3 linked regions of the Mus musculus genome follow. The protein of the gene in region 1 purifies or fractionates together with the protein of each later gene. This does not show direct contact. Links are inferred from orthologs where the notes say so. Each region holds a gene or a part of one and is shown in the gene's direction. Other genes may lie near its edges.

The links.
Region 2: the proteins of Etaa1 (region 1) and Atr purify together in Homo sapiens (affinity purification with western blotting; 3 studies listed by BioGRID, with this or other methods). This does not show direct contact. The link is inferred for Mus musculus from reciprocal best matches to the Homo sapiens genes ETAA1 and ATR.
Region 3: the proteins of Etaa1 (region 1) and Rpa2 purify together in Homo sapiens (affinity purification with western blotting; 4 studies listed by BioGRID, with this or other methods). This does not show direct contact. The link is inferred for Mus musculus from reciprocal best matches to the Homo sapiens genes ETAA1 and RPA2.

The regions. Positions count from the first base shown.
Region 1 is NC_000077.6:17,947,281-17,950,933, reverse strand, and holds part of Etaa1 (ewing's tumor-associated antigen 1 homolog), read left to right. Parts: intron 1-3,046; coding exon 3,047-3,159; intron 3,160-3,366; coding exon 3,367-3,653. UniProt on the Homo sapiens protein: Replication stress response protein that accumulates at DNA damage sites and promotes replication fork progression and integrity.
Region 2 is NC_000075.6:95,860,481-95,864,133, forward strand, and holds part of Atr (serine/threonine-protein kinase ATR), read left to right. Parts: intron 1-888; coding exon 889-980; intron 981-2,302; coding exon 2,303-2,452; intron 2,453-3,653. UniProt on the Homo sapiens protein: Serine/threonine protein kinase which activates checkpoint signaling upon genotoxic stresses such as ionizing radiation (IR), ultraviolet light (UV), or DNA replication stalling, thereby acting as a DNA damage sensor.
Region 3 is NC_000070.6:132,774,719-132,778,371, forward strand, and holds part of Rpa2 (replication protein A 32 kDa subunit), read left to right. Parts: intron 1-298; coding exon 299-415; intron 416-1,529; coding exon 1,530-1,637; intron 1,638-1,934; coding exon 1,935-2,029; intron 2,030-3,071; coding exon 3,072-3,156; 3' UTR 3,157-3,653. UniProt on the Homo sapiens protein: As part of the heterotrimeric replication protein A complex (RPA/RP-A), binds and stabilizes single-stranded DNA intermediates that form during DNA replication or upon DNA stress.

The DNA.
Region 1 (3,653 bases):
CCAGTAACTGATTCCTTTTATTAGTCCTGAGTTTCTTTTCTGTCTTTTTCTTACTTATTTTTTTTTACGTTTTAAAAAGTATGTGTGTATATGTATCTTTAAGTATACATTGTATGTACTTATGTATGTATGTGCTTGCCTGCCCACGCCCACAGCATGTGTGTGGGAGAGGTCACCTTGCCAGAGTCAGTTCTCTTCTTTGGCTTATGGTTGTCCTAGGGAATGAGCTCAGGTCACAAGACTTGATAGCATGCTGAGCCATTTTGCCAGCCCTCTTTTTCTTAATTAACAACACTTAAATTCAAAGAATATCTAAGTTTTGTTTACTGTTGTCTTTGAGGAAATTGTTGTATTTTCCCTTAATATGCCCTAGGATAGTGTATTATTGGCCTGTAGTAATGACCCACAGATCTCACTGGTTCAAAATGTGATTATGAGGAATCAACATATCCAAAAAGAGAAGATAGGTACAACTTGTCTCCGGCTATAGAAATCTAGACATATAATCAGTAGTCAGTACAGCTTTGTAGCTGGTATCTCTGCTTCCCATGTTGTCATGCCGTAGGATTCATTGTATTTACTCTTTATGGCTGAAGTACATATATGCTATATTATTACTGTGTGCTAACAATATGTCTTGAGCCGGGCGTGGTGGCGCACACCTTTAATCCCAGCACTTGGGAGGCAGAGGCAGGCGAATTTCTGAGTTCGAGGCCAGCCTGGTCTACAGAGTGAGTTCCAGGACTACACAGAGAAACCCTGTTTCAAAAAACCAAAACCAAAAACAAAAACAAAACAAAACAAAACAAAAAAACAATATGTCTTTATTAACTACATCAAAGCACAGTTAAGCATGTTTGGGCTGACTAGCCTGACATGAGTGATACAAAGTTGAGTGTCCTGTTGGCTCCATAACTAAATGGGCTGGAAAGAGCAGCTCACGTAAAGACAGCAGTGCTAGGATTATACAGTCAGTGTCTTCTGCTCGACATTCTTTTTGTATTTTTGAGACAGGGTTTCTCTGTGTAGCCCTGGCTGTCCTGGAACTCACTTTGTAGACCAGGCTGTCCTGGAACTCAGAAATCTGCCTGCCTCTGCCTCCCGAGTGCTGGGATTAAAGGTGAGCGCCACCACCACCTAGCTATTCTGCCGGACATTCTTTTTTTTTTTTTTTTTTTTTTTTTTTTTAAAGATTTATTTATTTATTATATGTAAGTACACTGTAGCTGTCTTCAGACGCACCAGAAGAGGGCATCAGATCTCTGTTACAGGTGGTTGTGAGCCACCATGTGGTTGCTGGGATTTGAACTTGGGACCTTTGGAAGAGCAGTCGGGTGCTCTTACCCCCTGAGCCATCTCACCAGCCCCTCTGCCGGACATTCTTAAAACAGGTTAATTGTTGGCAGCATTAAGATTTCTCAGAAAATGTCATGCTCTTCATATTTGTGTTTTTCTTAGTTATCTTCAAATCATTTAATTTCTTCCAAATGGTTTCTGATTTCAGTTTTTAAGAAATACATTTGCGTATTAGATACTCATTTCATTTCCTGTAGTGATTTCTTCTGTGATGTTTAAGGTCTTTATTTGCCTTATTTATATAACTTTATACAACGCTAAGATCAATTGAAGGCTTAGACAACTTGTATGGCACCTAGAATGTACTTAGGGTTCAGCAAATTATGTAATAATCATAATTTAAAATAAGCACAAGTAGCTCATAAATATACAGAGGACTCTTGATATATATGCTTGAGAGGCTATGTAAAATTGTTATGACTTTCTGAAACTTTATATGAATTTAATTTATTTGGACAGATTCCAAAATTAAGTCATTAAGGATGTTACTTAAGAGTGTTATACAAACAACTCAGAAAATATTGAGTCTTCCAATGAAATTAACTGGTTTTATGATTTTATAAAACTAAATATCTTTTCACCCAAATCTTCAAGCAATGTAAAATGACCCTTTTTTAAAAAAATGCTGTTTCCATGGATACGTGCAAGCAGGCACATACTTTGTAAAGATCAGAGGACGTCAGTGAAGCCTTCTCCCACTCTAGACCCAAATTAGAATACCCTATAGTCTCGTAGTTTTAACTTTGTATCATGTTTTATACTTCTATTCTTTCTAGCTACTGTAAACAAATAAGATTGATTAAGTAATTTGGTTTGCTAGTTTGGTTTATGTCAGTGGTTCTCAATCTTCCTAATGCTGTGACTCTAATACAGTTCCACATGTTGTGGTGATCCTCAAACAAAATTATTTTTGTTGCTTACTTCATAGCTAATTTTGCTACTGTTACGAATCATAATGCAAACATTTTTGGAGATAGAGAGCTGCCAAAGGAGTCATGACCCACAGGTTGAGAACAACTGGTTTATAATATAAAGCTCATTTTATAACTTTGTGATTAAGGAACTAAAGACATACAGCAAAAATAAGTTGATTTTTTTTTTCATACTTGAAGTTTTCTGCTTTTGTCTTTTTTTCTAGTTGTCCATTCTTAGCTTTTGCTTTGACCTTGCGGTAAAATCTCTATAATCTGTTTTGACATTACTTAGACTCTCAGTCTAAGTCAAGGTAGAGCTCCCAAGTTTTAGTTAAGACTTTATGAGGATAAGAAAACTTGGAGAATCACTACTGCAGAAAAAATTCTGAATATATTCTTATTTTCAGGTCTGATAGTTGTATGTAGTTTGTTTCTGGTTTTGTGAACATCTTACAACTAAAATGTTATTTTTCCTTCTACCAAATATTATATGTATGTAACATCAAAATGTATTTGATATAGGTAATGTACTTCAAACCTTGGTTTTTATAAACATGGAATTCCTAAGTTCGAATATTACTTTTTAGTTGTGGGAATATAAATGGATCATAGCTTCTGACATAATGCCTTTCTCCAGCTTCTCATTGTTTGAGTTTGTTGAGTGCTTACAACAGAATTTCCCCCTCTAGTCTCATCTCTCTCTCTCTCCTGAGAGAGGGAGGGGTGGTTATTTGTTTTATAAGGCTCTTATGCTTCTCTTTTTTCGTCTTTCGAAGGACGAGAAACCAGTGACAAATTCCATGCTGGGAGTATGGATTGGTGAAACTGCTATTCCTTGTACTCCTGGCGTAGCAAAAGAGAAGTCAAGAGTGAAAGCCAGCTGCACAAAGTGAGTTCACCCTCCTCCTGAAAGTCAGTGAGGCAGGCGCTCCATTCTTGCTCATAGTCTTGGGTTTCTGTTTCAATATGTGAGTTAAAAACATAGTATTCTGAGAGTTAAAATTTTGGTGTTTCGTCACACGAAACTATACTAAACAGTAATCTAGTAGTTATTAAACAATTTTTTAATCAAAATGTTTCAATGTTTTTTTAATAGATTAAAAACAAAAAATCGAGAAAAAGAACTTATGAAATTGGCCCAACAGTTTGATAAAAATATGGAAGAACTTGATGTGATCCAAGAGCAAGATGGGAAGAATCATGATTTTATCCAGATGACTTCAAAAATGGGACATTTAGATAACCATAAAGATTCTGTGCAGAAGCCGTCAGGTGATGTAGTTCCTGAAATCACTTGTACTCCTGTGAAGAAGCAAATGAAAGGAGACAGTAGAATATCCTTGGCAAAGGCACAAGACAGCAGTCAGAAACCCTTTGACCAAA
Region 2 (3,653 bases), on another chromosome or scaffold:
CTTACGGCTCTTCTAGCTAGCCTAGGTATCTCTCTGGTCTTATTAATCACAATTGCATTTATATCCCAGGCTTCCATTAATCTGAGCTGTGTGATCTCCAGTGATTTAACTTCCAGAGCATCCTCAGATCCAAATTAGGCTTAGTATCTTACCTTGTTTTATAGGGTTTGTGTTAGCTCATTATATCCAAATATTATCACACTCATATGTAACTCATATAAGACGATTAATGCAACATTAATTCTTTTGTCCAAGTATGAGTAATCCAATATGTATCTTATATACATCTTAATTTGGAATAACCTTCTTTTCAAGTATTAAATAGTCATATGTGGCTAATGGCTGCCATTTTGAGCTGCACATTTCTAAAATATGAAGGTTAGCTGTCTGCACTGGCATTTAAGACTTTCCCCGCCCCAAATTAGTAATATCTTTAGATTTTCACTTTTAAGAAGTATAATACTGTCTATGTTAACATTTAAACCAATCATATTTGTTAGGTTCAAGTTTAGAGAGCTTTTGTACAAATTGAAAAGTAGGTCCTTTTAAAGATGAAATGCTCTTTGCTGGATTAGTTTGTAGAGACAGAATCTCTCTAAATAGCTTATGCTGGCCTAGAATCACTGGCCTTCTGCCTCAGCTTCCAATTATAGGTATGTGCCACCATACCTCTAATAAAACATTTTTACATTAATTTATTTATTGGGAGGGAGGGTCACACACATCACAGTCCATGTGGAGGATGACTCATGGGAGTTACTTCTCCCCTCCCACTATATCCATCCGGGGATGGAACTAAGGCCAGGCTTGGCAGCCTGCCTTTACCTGCTAAGCCATCTTGCTTGCTCCCATAGTGCCTCTTTTAACAAGCTTTACTTTGTATTTCAGTGCTACTCCAGAAGAATATAACACTGTTGTACAGAAACCAAGACAGATTCTCTGCCAGTTCATTGACAGAATACTTACAGATGTAAATGTTGGTAAGAGGGAATTATTTCTTCCATGAACTTCAATGGTTTTCCGTGTAACATTGTACTACCTGTTTTTCCTCTAGGCAGTTTTAGTCAGAGTTAGTTTTTGTTATAGATAGTAATTTCCAGCAAATTGTTACTCAGTATTGCTTATTACTTAAAACATAATGTAATTTAGGCTTTAAAATCAAGGGTGTGTTTCTATTATTCCATGATTTTTCTACTGGCTTCCTAGAATTCTTTAATGCATTAGTTATAAAACATTTGACTGGGTCCAATCATATGGGCTTTATCAACAACTTGCAAAAAAAAAAAAAAAAAAAAGTGAAATTTGGTACCAACACATTTTGTGATTTATTATAACCACTTAAACTTTGTTCTTTTCAGTCTACAAAGTCATAGGTTGCTAAAATGAGAGCAAAGGGCTATGAACACTTGTAAGATATGGTTCCCTCTGGGTCTCCCTCTGTTCTCACCACTTGCCTTTTCCCTCAGCCATAGGAACTCCTTCATGGGATCTTTCCAGAATTGTTTCATTTTATCCTGAATTACCAAGTCAAACTACTATTTTTAATTCTTTGACTCCTTCACCAGATTATTGTTTTTGTTTTGTTTTATCTTAAGCATGGTGCCTGTCATCTTACAGGCCTATATAACAAATGTTTGCAGAATGGGCTATATTATAGATGAATGTATATGGTTATTAGACATTGAAAATTAAGTGGTAGGCTGGAAAGATGACTCAGACATTAATCTTGCTGCCTTTAAATTCCCACCACAATCTTAAAAAGCAGCTGCAGCAATGCACACCTGTGATTGCTGCAATTCTCACAGTAGATCTGTGGAGCTTCCTGGTCCAGCCAGTCAGCAGGGCATGGTGGCCCACGCCTTTAATCCCAGCACTTGGGAGGCAGAGGCAGGCAGATTTCTGAGTTCGAGGCCAGCCTGGTCTACAAAGTGAGTTCTAGGACAGCCAGGGCTATACAAAGAAAAAAAAAAAAACCTGGTCCAGCCAGTCTAGCTAAGTTGGTGAAGTGTAGGTTCAGTGAGATCTCTTGTCTCAAAAAATAAGGTAGAGAATGATTGAAGCAGACACCCAACATTGACCTCTGACTGTCACATTCATCACACACACACACACACACACACACACACGAACATGTACATAGACATATACCATACACATACACATACTAGATAATAGGACTTCTTCATGTATCAGTGTAGCATGAGTACTCCACTGGACAAAGTTTTGATTACCAAAATTTAGTTTCTTAACAAAAGCTCTATATTTTGTCATGAGTTTTTAAAAAGAATCTTTTATCTCTTAGTTGCTCTAGAACTTGTAAAGAAAACTGACGCTCAGCCGACCTCTGTGATGTTACTTGATTTTATCCAGCACATCATGAAGTCTTCTCCGCTTATGTTTGTAAATGTGAATGGAAGCCAGGGCCAAAATGAGGCCAAAGACAGTTGTATTGGTAAGTGCTGTTATTTTATGTTAATCCTTAACCAGTTTTATTAGATCTCCTTTGCTGCTTTTCTGAATATCACATTTATATAATTACATGCTCCCACAAGTCATATTTGCTTTTGGGGAAAAGTGGTAGCAGTTTTGTTTTTGAGGCAGGGTCTCGTATGTACCTTTGGCTGGCATAGAATGCATTTGTAGACTAGGCTAGCCTGGAACTCAGAGATTGGCCTGCCTCCTGAGTGCTGGGATTAGACATATGCCAGCATGCCCAGCTTCAGCTACTTTTTTTTTTTTCATTTTGACAGTTTTACTAGAACATCATCTCAAATTACTACAAAGGTTTTTTTTTTTTTTTTTAGACATTCTACTCAAAAATACTTATACCAGGTGTAGTCATGCATGCATTTAATCCCAGTGCTCAGTAGTAGAGGCAGGAGGATCTTTGAGTTGGAGGCCACCTGTTCTACAGAGCAAGTTCCAAGTCAGCCAGGGCTACACAGAGGAAACACTTTCTTTAAAAACCAAAACCACATCCCTAACAAGATCTGACTCCCTCTTCTGGTGTGTCTGAAGACAGCTATAGTGTACTTACATATAATAATAAATAAATCTTAAAAAAAAAAAAAAAAAACCAAAACCAAACAAAACAAAACTTAACTACATTGCCTTCTAAGAAAAATTTGCTTTCTGTATGTTAAAGCATTTTTCTAGACTTTTACTGTATTGTTACTACCCCATTAATCTGCCTGCTCCTCACTTTCTGATTCTCTCATAAAAGGATGCAGAACAAACTTTTTCCTATATAATGAAATATTTTAAAATTTGTTAATAGTATCTGCTTTGATAATATAGCCTTCAAAAAGTGTTTTCTGGGGGATGGAGAGATGCCTTAGTGGTTAAGAGCACTAACTGCTCTTCCAGAGGTCCTGAATTCAATTCCTAGCAACCACGTGGTGGCTCACAACCATCTGTAATGGGATTCAATGCTCTCTTCTGGTGTGTCTGACGACAGCTATAATGTACCCATATACATAAAATAAATAATTCTTTAAAAAAAAGTTTTCTGACTCATCCTGGCCACCTAGGACTTGTTTTCTTTTTTTTGCTGCTGAATTATATGTTCTTATTATTGATGTTCTGTATTTCTTCTGTCATAAGTTCTTAAATTATACTATAATCACATTTTCAGTTTCTGTTATATTTTCTAA
Region 3 (3,653 bases), on another chromosome or scaffold:
AAGCCAGATGACTCTCCAGAGCCTCTGTAATGCACCCTGAGGAGTTGGGAGGCAGTCAGGAGAATCTCTAGAAGCTTTGGGGCTACCTAGTTGGTTGGGTGTATATACTAGAAAGACAACCTGTTTGAGGTAGGAAGTGAGAACCAACACACCAAGTCTACCCTCTTGACTTCCCTTGCATACAGTGGTACATGTGCCCACATTCATATTCACATTTTTAAGTCTAACAGGCGTTTTGCCCAGAAAGTCACTTGAATATGTTTGCCTTTTACTTATATTTTCCTCTTACTTATAATAGAACAAAAAGAGCTTGGTGGCCTTTAAGATCATTCCTCTGGAAGACATGAATGAGTTCACCGCACACATCCTGGAAGTGGTCAATTCACACATGATGCTCAGCAAGCCCAACAGCCAGGTGAGCAGCTGCAACTGACTCCTCCCTTTCTGGGAAACCAAACTTAACATTCATATTTCCGTGTCTGTGTGTGGTGTGTGAGGGATCCCCTGCAGGTAGGGCTACAAGCTGTGTGCCACCTGCAGCCAAACTCAGGAAGAGCTCAAAGAGCTCCCACTGCTGAGCCATCTTCAGCCATCACGTGGTCCTCAGCACATTTTCTCCCCGAGCTTCGCCACTGTCCTTTAGTCTAAGTGAAACACTCATGTTTCTCAGAGTTTCCAGTTGTTTCTCACCCAATACCAAGATAGCTGACCAAAAGTTTCAAAGCCAAACAGCATTTTGCGTCCAACCTGTACGCCATAAAAACATCTCAACAACAGACATCTAATGGGTGTTTGACTGGATGGCCTAATAGGATAGAGTTTGTCCTCTGTGTGGTCGCACTGTGTTAAACCTCACAGGCCGTGTGACCCTGTTATTCAGTTCAGTGGGTACAAGACTTAGCGGATGTCCTGTTCATCAGCACTGCAGAGAGGAAGGCTTCTGAGAAGGTGCAGTGGGAGTGAGTGGGAGCCAGAGAAGCCTGGAGGGGCCACTGGGGAGCAGTGGGCAGCATTGTCTGCTGCTAAGAGGTCAGATGTTGTGGTGACCAAAAGGCTGGAGCAGCCAGGGACTAGAGACGTTGGTAGAACTCAATTCAGAGGATTTGAGATAATCCAGCTAGTGGTAGGCAGAGAAGGAGTGACCTAAAAGAGGGTGAAGCATCTGTGCCTTTCTCGGTCTTATCCATAGTGGGCAAGCCCTCTGCCAGGGATCTGTACTCACAGGCAAGCCTGGGCCCTTTTCTCTCTCAACAGGGTTTCACGATAATAAATGCTCACTTGAGCGAGCCCAGGGAAGCCGCTGTAGCTGGCATGTGAAGTCGTAGTGCCAGAGCCTCCTTTCCGGGGACAGGGAATGCATGCCTCGGGGTTAGTTAACGCTCCTTACGAGGTTTCATTGTTAGAGTTTTCCTATATCAGTCGTTACTAGGGAAACTGATTAAATTGTTTGCTGCTGTTTATTAGTAAGTTAGGTGGAGTAGGGTTGATGTGGTGGCTTTTCTAATGTTCTGATCTTGTTCTTAATTCAGGCCTCTGCAGGGAGACCATCGATGAGCAACCCAGGAATGAGTGAGCCGGGGAACTTCAGCGGGAATAACTTCATGCCAGCAAATGGCCTCACTGTGGTCCAAAACCAGGTAAGCTGCCTGCTTACCCTGCAGAGCACGGGCAGTCTGATAGTTTGTTTCTTCCCAAATGATGGGAGGTTATCTTGCAGCCTGCTTCACACCAACACCCCTCCTTTTTAACTTGTGTGTGCTTGCCTGCTTGTACAGATGGATATGTGTATGTCCACAATGCCCGATACCAGTAGAGGATAGAGAGGGTGGAAACCCAGGGTCTCCTGAGCCATCTTTCCAGCTCCTCTTTGTTTATCGTAAGTAAGCTGATGCAGAGTAGTTGGTTGCTAAAGTCTTTTTACTCTGAACTGTCAGGTGCTGAATTTGATCAAGGCTTGCCCAAGACCTGAAGGCCTGAACTTCCAGGACCTCAGGAGCCAGCTCCAGCATATGCCTGTTCCCTCAATCAAGTGAGTCTTGTTGTCCGTGGCCTTGGATCTGTCCACAACCTTCTGCTGGTGGGGAGTGGAAAAGGTGAAGCCGGATCTATCATCTCAGCACTTGAAAGATAGAAGCAGGAGGATTGGGAGTTCAGAGCCAACCTGGGCTGCCTGAGACTCACTCACACAGGAGTCAGCTGCTGGGAAGAAAACAGAAAAGCACTCACAGGTGGCGCTGTTGCACCGCTTACTGATTTGTTGGGACCTGAAGGCATCAGGCAGCCCTTCTTACTCCAGACTCCTGATTCCATTGCAGTGAACTGAGATGGGTGTGTGTGTGTGTGTGTGTGTGTGTGTGTGTGTGTGTGTGTGTGTGTGTGTGTTCAAGGCCAGCCGAGTTTACATAGCGAGTTCCAGGACAGCTCTGACTACATAGAGACCAAGACCCTGTCTCAAACAAGCAAACCCATTTACTAACTATATGCCGAGATGGAGTAAATGCCCAGGCCAGTTCCCCATTTTATGCTGTGAAATGGTGGTCGATAACGCCCATCTCAAAGTCATTGTGTTGAGGTAGCTACACTGTAAATGGCTCGTACTAGACATCTTCCTGTCTCTGAGGACCTAAGGATTTGGAGGAGTCTCTTTCTGGCTTACCTTTCCCTTCCCGCCACTCTACTGCCCATAGGCAAAGCAAACGGCATCTCAGTGTGTGATTCTGGGGCCTGAATCCAGGGAAGGGAGCTGTAAGACCCCTGTGCACATCTCATGTGCGAGCTGACTGTAGCTTCAGGATCTTACGTCAACTTAGATTGGCATCTAAGTGAAGCCTTGTTTTATTTTGGAATTTGAGTCCGGGATCCAAGGCAGCCCTGGTAGCTCTGGTCTGCATGGATAACCTCAACCCTTGGGTTGTATCGACATTTCTCTACGAGAGACTTCCATGAACAAAGTGACTGAGGAATTCACAGCTAAGAGAAGTACACAAACAAGTGATGTTTGCTCATTTAGCTATGTTCAAAAGGCGCTGGTTTTAATGTGGGGATCCCCCCCCCTTTTTTTTTCCTTTCAGGCAAGCAGTGGATTTTCTGTGCAACGAGGGCCACATTTACTCTACTGTGGACGACGATCACTTTAAGTCTACAGATGCAGAGTGACTGGAGTTTCCTGGGTGCCTGGAATCTGTCCAGCTGGGCCTGTGTTCCTCTGTCGGCCCCAGCTCTGCGGGCTTTGGCCAGAGGCTTCTAGGACAGAACTTTGCTGTAGAAGGTCTCACTCAGCTGAAGTCCTTTTGGAACTTAGTGCTCTCTGTTTTGTTGCTTGTTGTTTAGAGGTTCAGAGGGAGATAGACAGTTGAGAAGGAAGTAAACCAGGACTGGATTTCTTGTAAGAAATTCCAATAAGCTAGTCAGGACTCCAGGATGGGTGGTCGGAATTGAAAGAGGAACACTGCCAAGATGTCAGGGCAGGGCTTCAGCTTGCTTGAGAGCGACTGTTCTCCAAGGCTTCGTGTTGAGGACAAGCACTGCTAGGGCCAAGGGCCAAAGAAGAACCTACCACCCTCTGCCAGTTTGCGCTGCCCTCTGGGTCTGCGGGGTTACTTTCGGAATTGCACTTTCCTTCCCTTGTCTTGCCCGCCGTGGGAAGGAGGTTT